2 linked regions of the Drosophila melanogaster genome follow. The protein of the gene in region 1 interacts with the protein of each later gene in a pairwise test. Each region holds a gene or a part of one and is shown on either strand. Other genes may lie near its edges.

Evidence for each region.
Region 2: the proteins of gdrd (region 1) and CG13838 interact in a two-hybrid assay, tested with the Drosophila melanogaster proteins (2 studies listed by BioGRID).

What each region holds. Positions count from the first base shown.
Region 1 is NT_037436.4:14,689,628-14,692,462, reverse strand, and holds gdrd (goddard), read right to left. Parts: upstream 1,117-2,835; 5' UTR 1,035-1,116; coding exon 693-1,034; 3' UTR 501-692; downstream 1-500.
Region 2 is NT_033777.3:23,034,230-23,047,944, forward strand, and holds CG13838 (uncharacterized protein), read left to right. Parts: upstream 1-8,011; 5' UTR 8,012-8,103; coding exon 8,104-8,379; 3' UTR 8,380-8,440; downstream 8,441-13,715. Other genes in the region: CG13833 (uncharacterized protein), read right to left, coding at 1-154, 1,111-1,278; CG13837 (uncharacterized protein), read left to right, coding at 9,761-10,432; CG17121 (uncharacterized protein), read right to left, coding at 10,588-10,675, 10,744-10,869, 10,928-11,105, 11,172-11,244, 11,298-11,474, 11,533-11,688, 13,504-13,715.

The sequences.
Region 1 (2,835 bases):
TTAATGCCGCTGCAACGGCATTTTATGGCAAATTATGTTTGGCTTCATTTCCACTGATAAGTATCGGACTTCAGCTTTCTGTCGAAATTTATCGCATATAATACGTTTTGCCAATATCTCGAGCGGCAGACGACGAACTTGAAGAATGTCCTTTCTTATTTATTGCTTTTAACATATTTGTTTGGCTCCAAGGCAATTCGTCTTTCTATGTGAATGTGGCGAAAGGCAAATGCAAATTTCAGTCTCAAATTTTCCGACTTTGCAAAGTTTTCGACAAAACAAAAGGCCCCCTGACAATATGCAGCTGCTCGAAATTGCTTGGGGTAACATTTTTGAAGGGCGGTCAATGAAAAGTTTATTATGCGCCGAAAAGAAGTCCACAAAGTTTGTGGACCGAATGAAAGCAAGTTTGGCAATTGTGTGTGGAGGGCCACTAATAAATTGCAAATATCGTTGAAAATAGTTTAGATTATGGCGATAAGGGCAGTATACAATGTATTGCTTTTGCTCATTGCTCAGTTTATTATATGCGCTTAGTTTTCGAATCCTTGGCTTGTGTTAATGCATAATTTTTTAACAATTAACTCGGGTCTGTTTGTGATTTGTTAAATGGGCTTCAATAACAATAACAATAAATAAATACAATAAATTTATACATTTTTGAAAATGAGAAATATAAAAATGTTCTTATATCATTGGTTGGTGGTTTCGTTTTCTTGTTCGACGTTTTCAAATCGCATTGGATTATCGCCTCCAGCCAACTGGTCGGCGTTTTCGCCAACAGGTACGGATGGAATTCGAGCATGGAGCTTCCTCTTCATCTGGACCACGGCAGAGTTGGCCATGCTAATGCGATTAATGATTCGGTTCAGACGCTCCTGAATGTTCGAGAATACCTGCTCGGAGAAGCGAGCGTCCTCAGAGGTATCGAGAGGCCCCACTGCAGTTGCTTCGTCACTATTGTTTTGGCTACCTTCTGTATAGGGCTCGTAGCTTTCAAGGTCTTGGAATATATCAGATCCGTCGTCCGACATTTTGACAAAAAAAATATATTTCAGAAATTTCAATAGTTATTCAGGAGCTGTGAACTAGAACAGACTTAAGTGCAAACAGATCAAAGACAGAATTTATACTGACAACAAAATCGAGAGCAGCATGTTTGATATAGTAACTCTATACAATAAACAATAGTATTAATCCAAACTCCATAAATATGAGTAGATGGTCACAACGTTGAAACATTTTTAATTAAGCGACACATCAAACTATATTTTTTATTTAAAACCAACGTTTTAATTATCTTCAAAATTAAGAATAGACGGATTTAAAACCTCTTAAGAAATCGCAACCCACTTGGCATGTAATCATGTGTGAAATGTGTTCAGCAGGGTCATAAAATCAGAAATCAATTAAAGCAATTTAAGAGCGAGGAGAGCAAACGATACGGATATGGATGTCGAGAGTCGAAAGTTGCCAGGGCACAAGGCAAATAAATCTCTGAAACGACTCTGCCAAAAAGGACGCACTTTGGGTGGCAGTGAGGATAAAAGTTTCCCCACAGCTGAACGAGGCGAACGAAATCAAAGTCTATAACTTAACGACTGCAATGAGAATGATGCTGATGACGATGTCGACGATGTGAAACGCCCTCAAGGTCCACCCCATTCCGTCCACCCGTTCCACCCACAGCCCGCCACCATTCGAGGAAAATCCGTACGCAGAAAAAGAGAGACAAAAGCCGAAAAGGGAGGAAATGCAGCATTCATTCTCTCGCCATTTTCCCCTTAACCCTCCCCTTTTCCCATGGCTCTTTGCCATCATTCTTTCAGTGAGTTTTTCGCCTCCATGTGCTAAATATTTGCCAGCCATTTCTTTATTTTTCTCTGGCCTTTGTCGCCAAACTGGATTCCCATCTTGATACCCATCGCTCTGCCACATCGTAATAAAGCAATAAATCTGCTGAGGAACTGCTCCTCATAAATTCCGTTACGCATAAAAACACTTACAAATGACTTTTTGTTCAATGGAATAAATGGCATGGCACTACACACATACTAAGATGTATATATGGAGCTGTAGCTGCGAATGCATGTTCATGACTGCACCAAGTTAAATTCACACACTTGGCTTTCTATATCTTCCGGGATTCGCTGAATCCTCTATTGATAATGCCATTTGGCATTTGGCTTGTGGCAAGGCTTTGACTTTTGCGACGTCTTTCACTTTATGGGCTTTCTATTGAAAACTCGTTGCGCTGCTAAGTAGGCAACATTTTTCAGCTCGCTCTAGTTTGTTCGCTTGTATCTTCGGGCGTAATAAACTACGGGATAAATTAAGTTTTTGTAAATAAGTGTAGGAATCTGGTGAAAAAATGTTGTAAAGAAATCCTGTCACTGAAGTTAAATTACAAATTAAAAATAAAATGTACTCGGAATAAATAAATAGTTGATTAAGAAATATAAGAAAGCCATACGTTTAATATTTAATATTTACAATACCCAACTCATTATATGTTATAACAGTTAAAGCTCTGTTTTTTATATTTCACAGAATCATAACATAAAACTCGTTACGAGTTTTATCGACATTTTTTTACGCACATATTTCACATTAAATATTTAAAATAACAGCTCGCGATCAATCTAAATTAGTAGAGATGTACATATGAAAAAACCCTCTAAATCCCTACCCTTGTTTATGCCAAGTGGTCTCATGCTGTTGCCTAATCTGCTGTCCAAATCACTCTTGCAACATGTTGCACGACCAACTAATTGATGATATAATTGAATGTTCAGAGACCATTTCCCAGTTCGTTAGGCTCTGGCTCTCCACAAA
Region 2 (13,715 bases), on another chromosome or scaffold:
TGTATGCCTTTGCGCGAACCTTATAGATATCTTGGATTTGCTTGACGGTGTCTTCCGCTCCGGAAACATTGATATCCACCACGGCGATGTGACAGCCTTTTTTAGCCAGTTCCAAGGATATGGCACGACCTAGTCCATGACCAGCTCCAGTGACCTAGATCGTAACGAGATAAACACATTGATTATATAAGTTGTGAGTCATTGACTGCAGTAAGCACGCAATCAAGTTTGCCACTCAATTTCTAAGTCATGACAAGCTAATGAAACAGTGACAGTGACAATTCATTTATTAAACAAAGTTTTATGTGTTTAAATTGTGATTTAAATTAAATTCAATTCAAATTTAAAAGTAAAGAAAAAACGTTATATAATAAGCGAAAATTATTTCATAAAAATGACCTAATAAGCTAAATTGCGAATATACTTGCAACATTTCCTGAGTGAAATAAAAATAAAATTGAATTTAAAAGCTGTTTTTAAAATAAACTAAAGCAGAATCATTTGTTGGTTGATACCCCCGCTCTACATGTATCTCAATAATTGAATCAATTAATCTTTTCAAATCGGTTCAAATTGTGCCAGTTATTCCAGTTTATTACGTTTTTAGTAAATCTGAGTAAAGGGCCACATACTTTAGTTGCACAATAGCTCTAGCCATTTGTAAGTGGAATACAAATTAAAATGATCATTTAGAATTGCGTCAATATGTGCGCAAATGGAAATTTAAATGTATGAATAAACTGTCAAATTAGCAGAATAATGACTGTCCACCGTTTGTTCTGAATTAAAAACTGCAATTGCACGAATTTAAGAGCAAATTAATGTCTTTGACCATTAACCCTACCAGGTTCTGCATGGAAATCCATTAGGTTTTCGCCAACCAGGTTAAAGGTGCCTAATTCGTTCTGTATCTGATTATAATTGAAGCTCATAGTTTGCAGATACTTTTAGTAAGAACAACAAAACATTGCTAATATTACAAAATACATCCATACATTGTCTGAAATTTATACGATTCACTGACTTCTCAACTATCATGTAACTAATACGCTTTCGACAGCCAAGTTTATATGAAATTTTGTTTATCTCATCTATTTGGACCAAACTCACCACGGCCACTTCTCCCGCGATACTTTTCGGCGCCGAGCACCAGCAGAGTTTGGCGATCAGTCGGCCGAGTAGTGCTACCAAAATGAGTAGTGGCGTTATGGCCGCCAAACCGATCAGTGCGATTATGGCCTGCAGTTTTACCAGAGTGTTTCGTACTACTTCTGACATTTTTCTTATTTTTTAACCACCAACTTTTGAGTCACAACCGTGCCGAGAGAATGGCGAAAACGCATTGAATCGCAAGTCGCGAATCTCGAGCCGTCGAAAGCGGATCGATCGGCAAAACTGGCTTGCCGTCGAGATTGCAATTCGAGTGTATCCACAATTGACCCGGTTCGCGGTGTTCGGCAATTAGCCGCGACTTTCAGCGGAACCCCACCAAATGAATGCGAGCGTGTGGCAAGCGTCCATTTACACACCTCACCTATTAACCAGCGCGACCTCAACTCCCTGGCCATGTTTTTGGAGCTCTGGAGTTGGGGGTTATTGTCAGCAAATAAACAGAAAAGTCACCTCCTGCACAGATGAGACAGTCGCGGCATCGCACCAGCAGCCCATTAGTAATAAATAAATGCCACTTTTTTTTTTTTGACTACAACTACAAGTGTGTAGCAGCTCCACATATCCAAACAAATATACTCGTGTATACTTACTCAATAAATGTGGAAACAAAAAAAAAGCGGAGAGATGCCAACGAAAAAATGATTTTCTGACAATAAAGTGGATATATCCATAAACGAAGCGGAGCAGCAGAACATATAGAAACGTATGGGAAGGGGGGAGAGTACCAACGATATAGACAGCCAAAGGATAATTTTATATTGCGGGTGGGAGGGGGAAATGCAGTGGAAGGGGAGAGGGGGCGAGTGCCGGCTGTGGTTTTAGTTAAAAATAACAAAGAGCGAGCGACAAAAACGAGATTCGTGAAAAACGTATATTTCATATTCAGTTTTTCTTTTCGCAGGGTGCTTCAGCTGCTCCATAAAGCTTGCCGTTAATTTTCAGGGTAATGAGAGTATTACCGATGGAGTAATGTGCAAAAACGATTTACTATATATATATATACCGCTGAGATTGAGCGATAAAATAATTCAGGTATATATTATAGTTGTGACGAACTAAAATGGGATTCATCGGAACATGAAAAAATATATATATACTTGTATTTACATACATCATACAAATTATTGTGTAGCTAGTATTTGTTAAACAAATATATAGTTATCTAGTACGACTGTCACAGTATCTCTGAACTTTTTAGACACATTTTTTTCTAATTTAAAGGGTATCCATTAGTCGCTGTTGCATGAAATTAGATTAGTTATACCCACACACACATCCCTTTCTTCTCCCACTCCCGCTGGCAATGGCATTTTAATAGAGTTTTAGCCGGGCCAAGGTGCTGCAGCAATCGGGCAGGTTAACCCCACCCCTCTCCAGCAACCCCTTTATTTTTCTGCCACCACCCCCTTTCCCCTTGAACCAGCACTTGCGACACTTTTGGTTTTGTATCAATTTATTGCACTCGGCGCACTCGAGGGCATGTGTCGATCGCTGGCGGAATCGCTTTGGTTCACTGCAAATGAAAACGACCCCAAAAACCAATACATACATACATACATATGCAGCCTGGAATGCCTCCTTAGCTTCGTTTCCATGCGCATTTTGGCGCAATTACGAATCCTACTTCTTGGCTGTGGACCTGCATCGCCCTTCTTATTTTATTTTATTTCTTTTTTTTTTTACTCCGCTGCACGTGATGCAATTTTGTATTTATTTAAGCGCAGCACTCGCCTTCGGATGTTGCCAAAATCGGGTCACACTTTGTGCACGTGGTGCCGCCGCGCTTTGCATGCGACTTTTTTGCGGCTATTGGACTCCGATGATTTATGGGCGAGGCGTCTGCGTATTTGGTGGAGCAGCAGCAGCGGGAGGAGCACATGGCACTGGCTGCCTACTCCTTTCCATTTGCCCAATCTTCCCAATCTGCGGTGGCAAGCTATAAAGATAGCGATACTCGAGTGTTCCACTGCGAGCCCCTTAATTGTCAAAACTCCGTGCCACTCAACGCTGTCCCGCCAACAACACTTCAGCTCCAGCTCAAAGGGTACTCAAAGAACACCGGAGGTGGAGCGAAGGATCGGGAGGTGCTGCTCAACTCGGTGATCCAAAAAAAACTAGCCAAGCATTATATTGAAAATATTGGAGTTCAATATGTTAAAAAATTGCATCGGTACTATATATATATGTTATTTTTAAAGTCTATGCTTAAGCAATCTTTAAATCGTATTTTATATTACATCTTAAATAAGCTACATAATTTATAATATTTTGTTAATAAATAAAAAATTCTCAATTAATTCAGTTCATTACCTTGAAAAATAGCTAAATTCGAGAGGAAATCATCTCAATTGACTGCTCGGTGGTGGAGCGAGAGCCGCACAAAAAATGTAGCAAAGTGCTTAAGGTAAAGGATTAGTGGTGGTTAAACCTGTGCACCGAAGTTTCCCACGGCAAAGGATGAACCGCTGGCAGGATGGAAACGGAATGAGATGGCCGGAATGAGAGAATGAGAGGCCGCAGCTGGCGGAGGAAAGTGAAAAGTGTCGAGAGGAGTTTGAGTGCTCAAACGCGCTAATCTCGATGGCATGGCTCTCCGTTTTTTCCATTAGTTTTGTAATATTTCACATTAGCATGTCGGCCACTCAGAGCTTAGGACTCTTGTAAGGAACCAAAGAAATATTAAAAACCAAAAAAAAAAAGAAACACAAAAAAGGTGGAAAGGCAGAAGGGCGAGGCAATTTCTCAGCGCGGCTGTCAACACCAATCTGAAGTGCTACCGCGAGAGCAGAAACAGCAGCAAGTGCAGGACATAATGAGACACGGATAACAGGCCATTTCGATTATTATCCTTGGAACATGTGTTCCAGTTTAGTACAGCAACGCAACAAGTGCACCGCGGGCCGTAAAGTAAATAAATTAGCCGGTCGTGTAATGCACAAGAATCCGTAGGATCGAAAACATTCTGCAACATGACACTCGGCCAGGATTCGAGGAGCTACCGCATCAGGATGCTGCTTCGGATGTGTTTGTTTAGGTGCAAGGATAACGCATTCTCACGCCTGCCGGGAGCAGCCAAGCAACATGGATGCCTTCTAACCCAAATCCACTTGAACCCACACTGACAGTCGAATGTCATAATTCAGCGGCGGGAAAAATGCGCGGCAGGTTGCCAGGATAATCAAGTTGCAGCTCCCGCTGCCGCTGTTTGTTTAGCTGAGGTTTTCATTTTCCCCATTTTTATTTTCCATTCATTTTTTTTTTTTTATAGCTCCCGAAGATTTTATTGCCGCCCGGGATGGGATAATCCCTATTGACATATTTATGCACGGTTCAAGCAACGAAATGGAAATTTTTGGCGTCGCATGGCTCGCTGGCATTTGCCTTTCGCCTTTCACGGGGGCGTGGCAACGAGCTAATGGGCACCACATGTAAGTGTCTCTAGGTGAATGAATTAATGTCCCGCCTCCAGAAATGCTCGGAGTTTCACACAGAAAAAATGGATGTTATGAAACTAAAAGGGTATCTAGAAGCACAAAACTCACTTTCTATGTGGGATTGTTGTAGTTAGTACTTCGAGTACTTTGAATTTTCTTCCGTGCAGCAGCATTTCCCCTAGTCTAAGTTCGAGTTCAAGGTGCAGCACATGGCTGTCGAGCTGTGTGGGAATTATCTAAGGAAAATACGTTACGGCGGGCGGCCAAAACACCTGTGTCAATGCCGGCAGATCGGGCGTTGCGCTGCTTAATTCTTGTAATTAATTTTGCGTGCCACAGACAGAGACAGAAGCAGACTCGCACACAGAGATAAACACACAGACGGCGGAATGGTGGAATAGGGACAATGGAGGATGTCCTGATGCACGGCATTAACTGAGCATGCAAACGATGCGTCAACGATGGTACTCGGCCCAGGCAGCTAACGCTATTATTTACACAACAAACACTTGTAATTACACAAAGGGCGGCGGCGGTGGCAGGAGGGTCCTGCAGGAGCAGGACGGAGCCGCAATTAAAAGCGAAAGGATAAACACAAATAAATGAGCGACACAAAAGGGGCAGACACGGCAAAGACAACTCGGCTGTAGCTGACTTGGCCCACTGCCACTGCCAGTACTGGCTTCCACTACTGTTCGGGCCAAGACAAAGGCAACACTCTGGGCCCAAAGACAACAATGACAAGCGGACGGCATTAAATAATTGCTCATACACGAGTGTTACGCACAAAAGCATTTAGAATGGCACTGGCCGAGGCACAGGAAGTGAAACAGGACGAGCCGAGCAAAAAACTGTCCAGCACGTGTTGCAGCTCGTCTCGGAAAACCCAACCATGTAATCCCAGCCAAGCCCATTCCAAACCATCCCAATCCGATGCGATTCCAAGCGCCTGCCGCCACCTTTTCGGCTTCGGTGTGTGAAAACTAGTTAACAGCTTTTATTTACTTGGCAAACAGACTGAAACGTTGTAAAACAACAAATGCTTAAGCCGCAGGATATAAGCATAACAGCACTCACCAGCACACACGTCCTTCCACTGCGGAAAAAAAAGAAGGGATTATTATGATGAATTGCATGCACGTCAAGATTTGTGCTTAAGAAAATATTGAGCTAAGATGCAATCTTGAGGATTTACACTTTGAAATGGGTATTCCTAATTATGTTATGTTATATATATCATGTAGACAGATGGTTAGACCAAGTAAGGCACCATTCCAGTTTGTTCCAGTTTGTTTTCTTCAATAATTTTTTGAATCTTCCCTAATAGTTTCTTGCCGTGTATGCCACTCGGGGCACGAACACGACCAGCTTGGTCAAAAAGTCCACGTTGTCCGCTGTGGTCAGCGGCATGGAGAATGGAGACGACGCTGATGGAGGCGAGCGTGCAACTGACTGCGGCGCTCGGACATCTCATAACCAAAGTGAAAAGTTGGAAAACAATAACGGGCAGCGATGCGGGGCACACATGTCCTGCCTGAGCAATCGCCTCCAAAGCAGTGTCCTTCGGCCAGGATGGCCACAACCAGTGCCGGCAGCCAGGGAAGAGGCTACACAGCGTGACAAAGTTTATGGACCACAATGGAGCTGCAGCTCACTTAGTATTCTCCGCTCGGATATAAGCTCGGTAAGGACATTCAACGTGGCACAACGACCAGGACTACTACCACACACATAAATTATATGCCTTTATTTGGGCAAAACAGTGTAAAACGCAAATGCAACCTGATGACAACAACAGGCTGCGTTATGCAGCAACAACAGAACCAGAAGAAGCCGGACCCAAAGACGTGGCAACAATGAGACTTTTCGGCAAACAAACGAGGCAAACTAAGAGCGCTTTTCAACTAATGACGACGAGCAGTAACAAAAACGTTTTCAAACTGGGCGGCGGCAACAAGTTGAGCCGTTTAGATTTAGAGCTTGTAAAGTGTGTGCGGAAAATTCAATAACCAAGTGATAACAACCTCAAGAACAGATCCAAGTTAACCCGCTGGAAGACCAGGAAAATCCACACAACCACTCGAGCTGAAGGATATCGGCAGGGTAAATGCACAAATGCATATGCATACATAGATGTATGTGTATGCGTATGTAGGCAGGCCGGAGAGATGACAACAAAAGCCAGCTTAATGGCAATAATAACAGATTTTAGCCAACCACAAAGAAAACGTCAACAGAGGCATACTTTTTGGCCACCATGCTGGCAGCAGCAGCAGCAGCAGTTCGGTTAATGGCAGGAAGTTCACTTCACAGCCAGGACGACACATCCTTGCAGCAGTCACTTTGAATGAAAATTCATTAAGTGAAAATGCCTAAGCCAGCAGATGAAACAGAAAGGAGCAGCAGTCCATCCTCTTAATAGCCGAAAAAAAAGACCGCATCGTTGGACAAGCAACCACATCCATCAGCCGGCCGATTGGCTCAATTTGCATGCAATTAAAAATAAATTGAGGCACCTTGTTCTGCGGCTAAACTAAATAGTGGCACCGCATTCGGTGGAGCCCACTTCCAATTTTCAGTACCAAACTGGTGCGGGGGTGGGGGGGAACGCGACCACCGCAGTATGGGGCCAAAAAAATTGATTTCAACTTCGGTTGCCGCCGCGTATTTATAGGCTGAATTGTCATTTTCTCCTCTTTTCTGGTTGCTGCATTTTTTTTATTATTTACTTCAACCCAATCCTGAATGCTAACAAAGAGTTCTCGAAAGGAGAGCGTAAAACAAACAAATCACGGACCGATATGCACACATAAAAATTCATAAATATTCTATTTTGAGTTGACATTTTGACAAGTGAATATGAATATTGCAGTCGCAGCGCACAAATTTATAATTGATATGTATAAATAATGGACAAAGCCATTTTGTAAATGGGTTTAATGAAATGAACGAGTGTAGCTCTTGTAATAGCTCGCCAATTACAAACAAAGCAAAACAAACAATAGTCGAAAAAGAAGAGTGGACTTTCTGGTGCCCTGGGCGCAAATATTTTTCAAAACATTTAATTTATTGTATTTGAAAAGTTGTAACGATTTTTCAAAAATATCCTCCTAAAATGGCAAGCAATTTACTTTCATTTTTTTAAGCAATAGACTTTAATAAACGTTTGATGAAAAAAAAAAATCATCAAGTTCACCCATTTAATATACCCCTTAAATCTCAATTTACAGGTGCCATCGCTTAAATAAAATATACTTAATATTTCACATTTGGCGTTAAAAGCAAAAGTACCCAAAAGCCAGTTAGCTGCAATTACAATTAAATTAAATTGGTTTATGGTAAGCAACTTTAATTATGTTCGATAGCAAAACAAACCAAGTCAAATTTGCTTTACACTTCGGATCGCATGGCACAAAATAACACCGAAAATCATGATTTAGGGTGAAAAAAATTTAAATTTAAATCGAAAGTTGTTTTCCCAGCCCTTAAAGCCCAGATGGACAGCGCCGATGAGCAGCTGCAGCTGGATCTGGACAGGATATCGATGGAGAGTCGCCAGGCCAGCAGTTTCGATGACCTCATCGAGCTGACCAACAACTCGGAGCGTCTGATGGCCAGAGTCAATTCCAGCTTGGATGACCTAAACACCGCCCTCGACAACCTGGAGGCTCGAACGGACCGGGTTCTGGTCGAGATTCGGAGGCTAATCAGCTCGGAAATGCCGGCACAAGGTCCGCACGATGGATGTGGCGATCCAGATGCCAGGGCGTAGGCGGGCGAATGGCTGTGATACGTAATGTGATAATAAATAAATGTATTTTATTTTCATATCGAAATCAATTGATGCTCAACTGCTCATAGGAATTGAAAAGTGATTGGTCGTAGCTCTTCTTCGGTTTCGAATCGAATGGGGATCGAAAACTTCGCGGGGGCATTGAGGCCATAGAGGCAGAAGATCCATAAAACGCCCGACAGTTTGTTTGTTTTTTATGAGAACTGTAACCCTAGCACACAAATAATTAGTGAGCTATTTTTATGGATCTTCGGATGCGGGGCTGCGCATGCGCAATGCGCATTGAGCAGAAGTATCAAGGTGCTGGGGGTCTTCATCCACAATCTTAATTAGAATTTACATACATTTTCAATATGCGTGTGTGTGTGTGTGTGTGTGTGTTTTGTATTTGTGCACATGTTGCACTGCATTTGAAGATCTCGTCGTGCACTTAATCACTTGAGCCGTCGGCACCATATGGGGTCCTTTCTTTTACTTCTTGTTGTCTGTGCCCCGCGGCATCTGGTGCATGGTATATGTAGTAGACTGAGCGGTATAACCTGTTAATCAGATATGCAGATTGACCCAAAAATTATGCCACAAAGCAGCTGCTGGGCGACAGCGTTTAATTGACAATTAATAAAACTTTTAATTTGAGCCCAATTGGCACATTGCACATTATGGTAATGGTAATGGTAGTGGGGTAGCATGGTAGTTGGTCAATTGGATAATGCCCACAGATCCCAGCCATTTGCACTGGTAATTCTTCATTAATCGGCTACGCAATCATTTACGTAAAGCGCAGAGCCACCAAACCTAATTGCAAGTTATGAATATCTCATCGGATATTAAATCGATGGCCATCGCTTAACTCCGACCAGCAACGACCACGATGACGATGGAAATAATAATGAGGATGACTGCGATGAATGGATTGAATGGCCTGAATGGTATCGTTCGACGACCATCCATCCGTCCGTTTATCCGTCCATTTGTCCGCTTGTCCGTCCGTTTGTCCGCTTGTCCGTACGGAAGTGGCGACACTTAATTGCGAATTGAGTGCATTTTCAATTTTTATTGAACCGGCGCCCAGTCGAGCATTATGCTGCGGTGTGGTATCATTAAATACTCGGTTGCTTTGCTGCTGCTGCGAAGTATGCTACGAAAATGCAAATTACCGAGACCGCCCAGAGTGGGCGTGGCAGTTACTGCCATGTGCTCATTAGCGGTATCTACCAGACGATAACCAGCGTAGTAATCGATGGAATAACTTGTCTTCTTTATCAGTTGGAGCACATGCAAAAATATACTCAACCCATCATCGATGAAGTCAGTCTACAGAAGTCATCCCGCTATTTCGGTCGTTAAAAAAATAAATGAAATGGGAGCTGTAACCTTCTTAACAATTATTTTGGTGACCTTGCTGGGTCATCGATCCAGTGCCCTGGAGTTCGAAGAGTGTGCCAGTGCTCCACAATTGGGAGTTTATGTCGCCAGCTCTAGCAATTGCTCCAAATACATATATTGTGCCGGTCCAGGATCCTTTGAGGCCGAGTGCTTGGATGGTCATTACTACGACGAAAAATTGGAACGCTGTTTGGATCGAAAGTTGGTGTCGAGATGCCGGGATCCCGTAGGCATAACCACTAAATCCCCCTCGATGGTCAAGAAGCCAGCTCAGAAAGCGGAACCATTGGCGATTACCCTGCGACTTTTACCCAATGCCGGACCATGTTATCCTTATATGGTCTGCTACGAGGGGGCTGGACTGGCCAAGGCCTGTACTCCTGCTCATCTAGTGTCCTGCAATCGCATGCAAACGCGAGAGAATATCATCAACTGCCAGGAGGGAGTCTATGGCTTTATGCCACATCCACGGAACTGCGCCTACTTCTACTACTGCTCCAGTGGCTCCAAGCTGGTCCATCGATGCCACTTGAACTACACTTGGCACTACGAACGGAGGTCCTGCGTCCAGCAGTCCGAGAGGATGTGCTACTCCGAACAACTTCGGCTTATACGAAATAAAATAGGAAAGGCCAACCGGACGTAATTCTAATGTTAGGATATAGATTTAATTTAAGTTAAAGATTCGTATAAATAGCTAAACATGTACACCTAGCGTAAGCAACAGTTGAATAAAGAACTGCAATTGGGAAACAAACAGGAGTAAATGCTTCTGGGTGGGGATGTGCCTTCTCCTGTGCCCTACTTCCAGTAAAACAGGTGGGAGCTGCGCACATCGAAGTGGTAGAAGCGAAGCAGCATGTAATCCTGCCACTTGGTGGGCAACAGTCTAAAGCAAGGCGACAACAATAATCGTTAGAAATAATCGCTGGTTACCTGGGCTAATTCAATTCTCACCTGAGCAGCCATACACTGAGTGCGAATATTTTTGGCACATACACCATGCGCTCGTTCAGCAACACGCCCTTGACAATCTTCTCGGCCACATATGGTGTGGGCAGTCCGGGATAGCTCTTGGCAATGCTAAATGTAGTAGCCGCATGAGACCAAGTGATCTGCCCAAACTATAAACCAATCTTACCCCGCATCACTGAGCAGTGGAAGATCTCCGCTGGTCCTCATCAGATAGGCATTGGCCACCGTGGTGCGAACGTAGTCACAGTCGGACAATCGCAGCTCAGCTCGCAGCGATTCCATGAAGCCCTCGATTCCGTATTTGGTGGCCGTGTAGATGCCCGCTCCTGGCAGTGGAACTAGACCTAAATGCGAGTTATATATACATAGGTATCAATGAAGTGGTAAGCACTTTAACCAAGTAAGCTTACCCGCTAAGGCATTTACTGCCACCAGATGACCGGACTTGCGGTTTATCATCTTCGGCAGGAACTCCTTGGTGGTCTGCAAAATCAAGAAGTTTTATATTTGTCCCATTTTCAGAAGCACACACTCACCATTATGTAGGAGCCCAGATTGAGCTGCAGTATTGTGTCGATTTCATCGCTCTTCAGACTGGGTGTTGAAGTCATGGGCATGAGGGAGGCATTGTTGACCAGAATGTCCACGGGACCCAGTTCCTTCTCCACCTTGGCGGCCATCAGTTGAAGCTCGCGAGGCGATGACACGTCGTTCTGGAATAAAGATTCTTGTTATCAAACCATTAAATATCCAAGCAGCTAGTGAACTCACCTTGTAGGCCTTGGCAACGCAGCGTGGAATCTTGGAGAGCAGCTCCACCGTTTCGTAACATCCCTTGGAGTTGACATCAACGACGGCCAGCTTGCAGCCCCGCCGCGCCAGTTCCAAGCAGATCTCGCGACCCAGCCCACTGCCTCCGCCGGTCACCTGGGTTTAAATCACAGGTTACTCACATTACACTCGTATACTCAAGTAAATTAATTAGCTTAATTTGCAAACAATCAACTCGAGCTAATGTGACTTCGCATTGAACAAAAACCTCATTTACGGACAATTATGTGAGCAGCAGCAACAGCGGCAGAGGCGACTTATGAATGGCATTACTCATACGCTCGGTGGGCCGACCCTCTGGGGCACAATTGAGTGACTTTTGACCGTAATTGAAGCCCACTGGGTGACCTCAGCCGCCGTTTTGGGTGTGCGGTAGTTGGGTGAATCGAAATGTAAGCCGGAATGAGTTCAATTCAGAGTTTGGCACGTTAGCGACTAGCAATGGGGAAAACAATAACAAATGCGCAGTTGTTGTGATTATAGAACAGCCGAAGAATTTCAATATCATATGCAAATTAACAGCGGCAACAGTAGTTGAGTTTTATCTACGCATCTGAGAGATACCCGGCATGCTACACACTTGCAGATACTTTGGCCCATCGAAATTCTACACTCTATTGTTTGTAAACACAAACATTAGACTGAAAACAAAAGTGAACTTTCTGAGGTTTGCATTTTTGCGCTCTTTTCGTTCATCTTGGAAATAAATATAGCGACACACGCAAAACCAGTTTGCAGTTGGCCGTTGGCCAGTGGTGTCGAAAAAGGGGGTATTTTTGAGCTGAAATAACTCGAATTCCGCAACCATGATGTCAATAGAACTTATCAACGAAAGTCAATCTTATAATTAAGTTGCTGCTAACAGTTGGCATGGGAATTCTCCAGTCCCTGCCACCCGAAAATACCACTGTGCAACCGCAACAAAAATGTATCTGTATGTGTATCTGTATCTGAGAAAACGATATCTGAGGGAACGATCGAAAAAAAAAGCTGAGACTAAAACAAAAGTCGGGCCGCTGTGAATCATTAATACGCTACGTGAGACGCTTATGGCCGGCACACGCCCACTATAAAAAGCCTGAAAAGCATGCTAATGGGTTCCGAATTCGATCAGGTTCTTTACGATATGGAGCATCGGCAGCGGCATCATCACTTGACCTTGTCCAGTGGCATTGGCGCCCATTGGCAATTGACTTCTCCATAATTCGACGCCCCAAGATGCATATGTGATTATTGGAGCGCGATATGGTTGCCATGAGCACGATTTCAGCTGGAGATTCACTTTGATTGCAGCGCTTACAGCGAAATTATGTCACATTAACTGTCCGTGGCACCAAAGACGCGGCTCTGTGGACACAACTAAACAATTGGCCAACAACTAACCAAGCTGGGCACCAAACGCATAAATATTTACATTAATAACACAGTACTAAGCGATCGACCGCACCCTAATGGCAGTGACATCAAAAAAAAAAAAAAGAGGAGAAATAAAAAGCAAAGAAAAGCGGGAAAGGGGAAAAGGTGGGTGAGCCAAAGGTGGGCGTGGTGGAAACCCGGAGGCAGCCACTGGAAAAGGAAAGTGCGTGACGTTTCTGGTTGGCTAAGTAGTCGTCAGATACAAGATCACTTAGAAGCGGATACTGGGAAAACAAATTCACATGAAGCCAACGATTAAAGTATACCATTACCAATTTCTTTACGAAGTATCTGAACCTAATTTGGTACCCAAAGATGTATCTAAACACAGACATATATCTCTTTTTTAATGTCAGTACTTAACATGAAATGCGACTGCATTTTCTAAGTGCATCCATGTCTGATGTGCATCTGACTAGCCTTATTAATGGCTCATTTGCCAGACGCTCATTGCAGCCATTTGTTAGCCCCAATGGGCACTCGAATGCAACTCACCAGTGCCACCTTGCCACTGACATCCTTCTCCTTGAGTCCCAGCGCGAATAGGTAATCCAACAGGTGCTTGAGAAAGACGGCCAGCAGGACCAGAGGCAGGAGGAGCAGAAAGACGATGACTTTCAGATTGAAGATGGCCCGGGTGGTCTCATCGTTGCGATGCGCCTGCGCGGCCGCCTGTGTCGCGGTGGGCGTGGCCGAGGCAGTGGGTC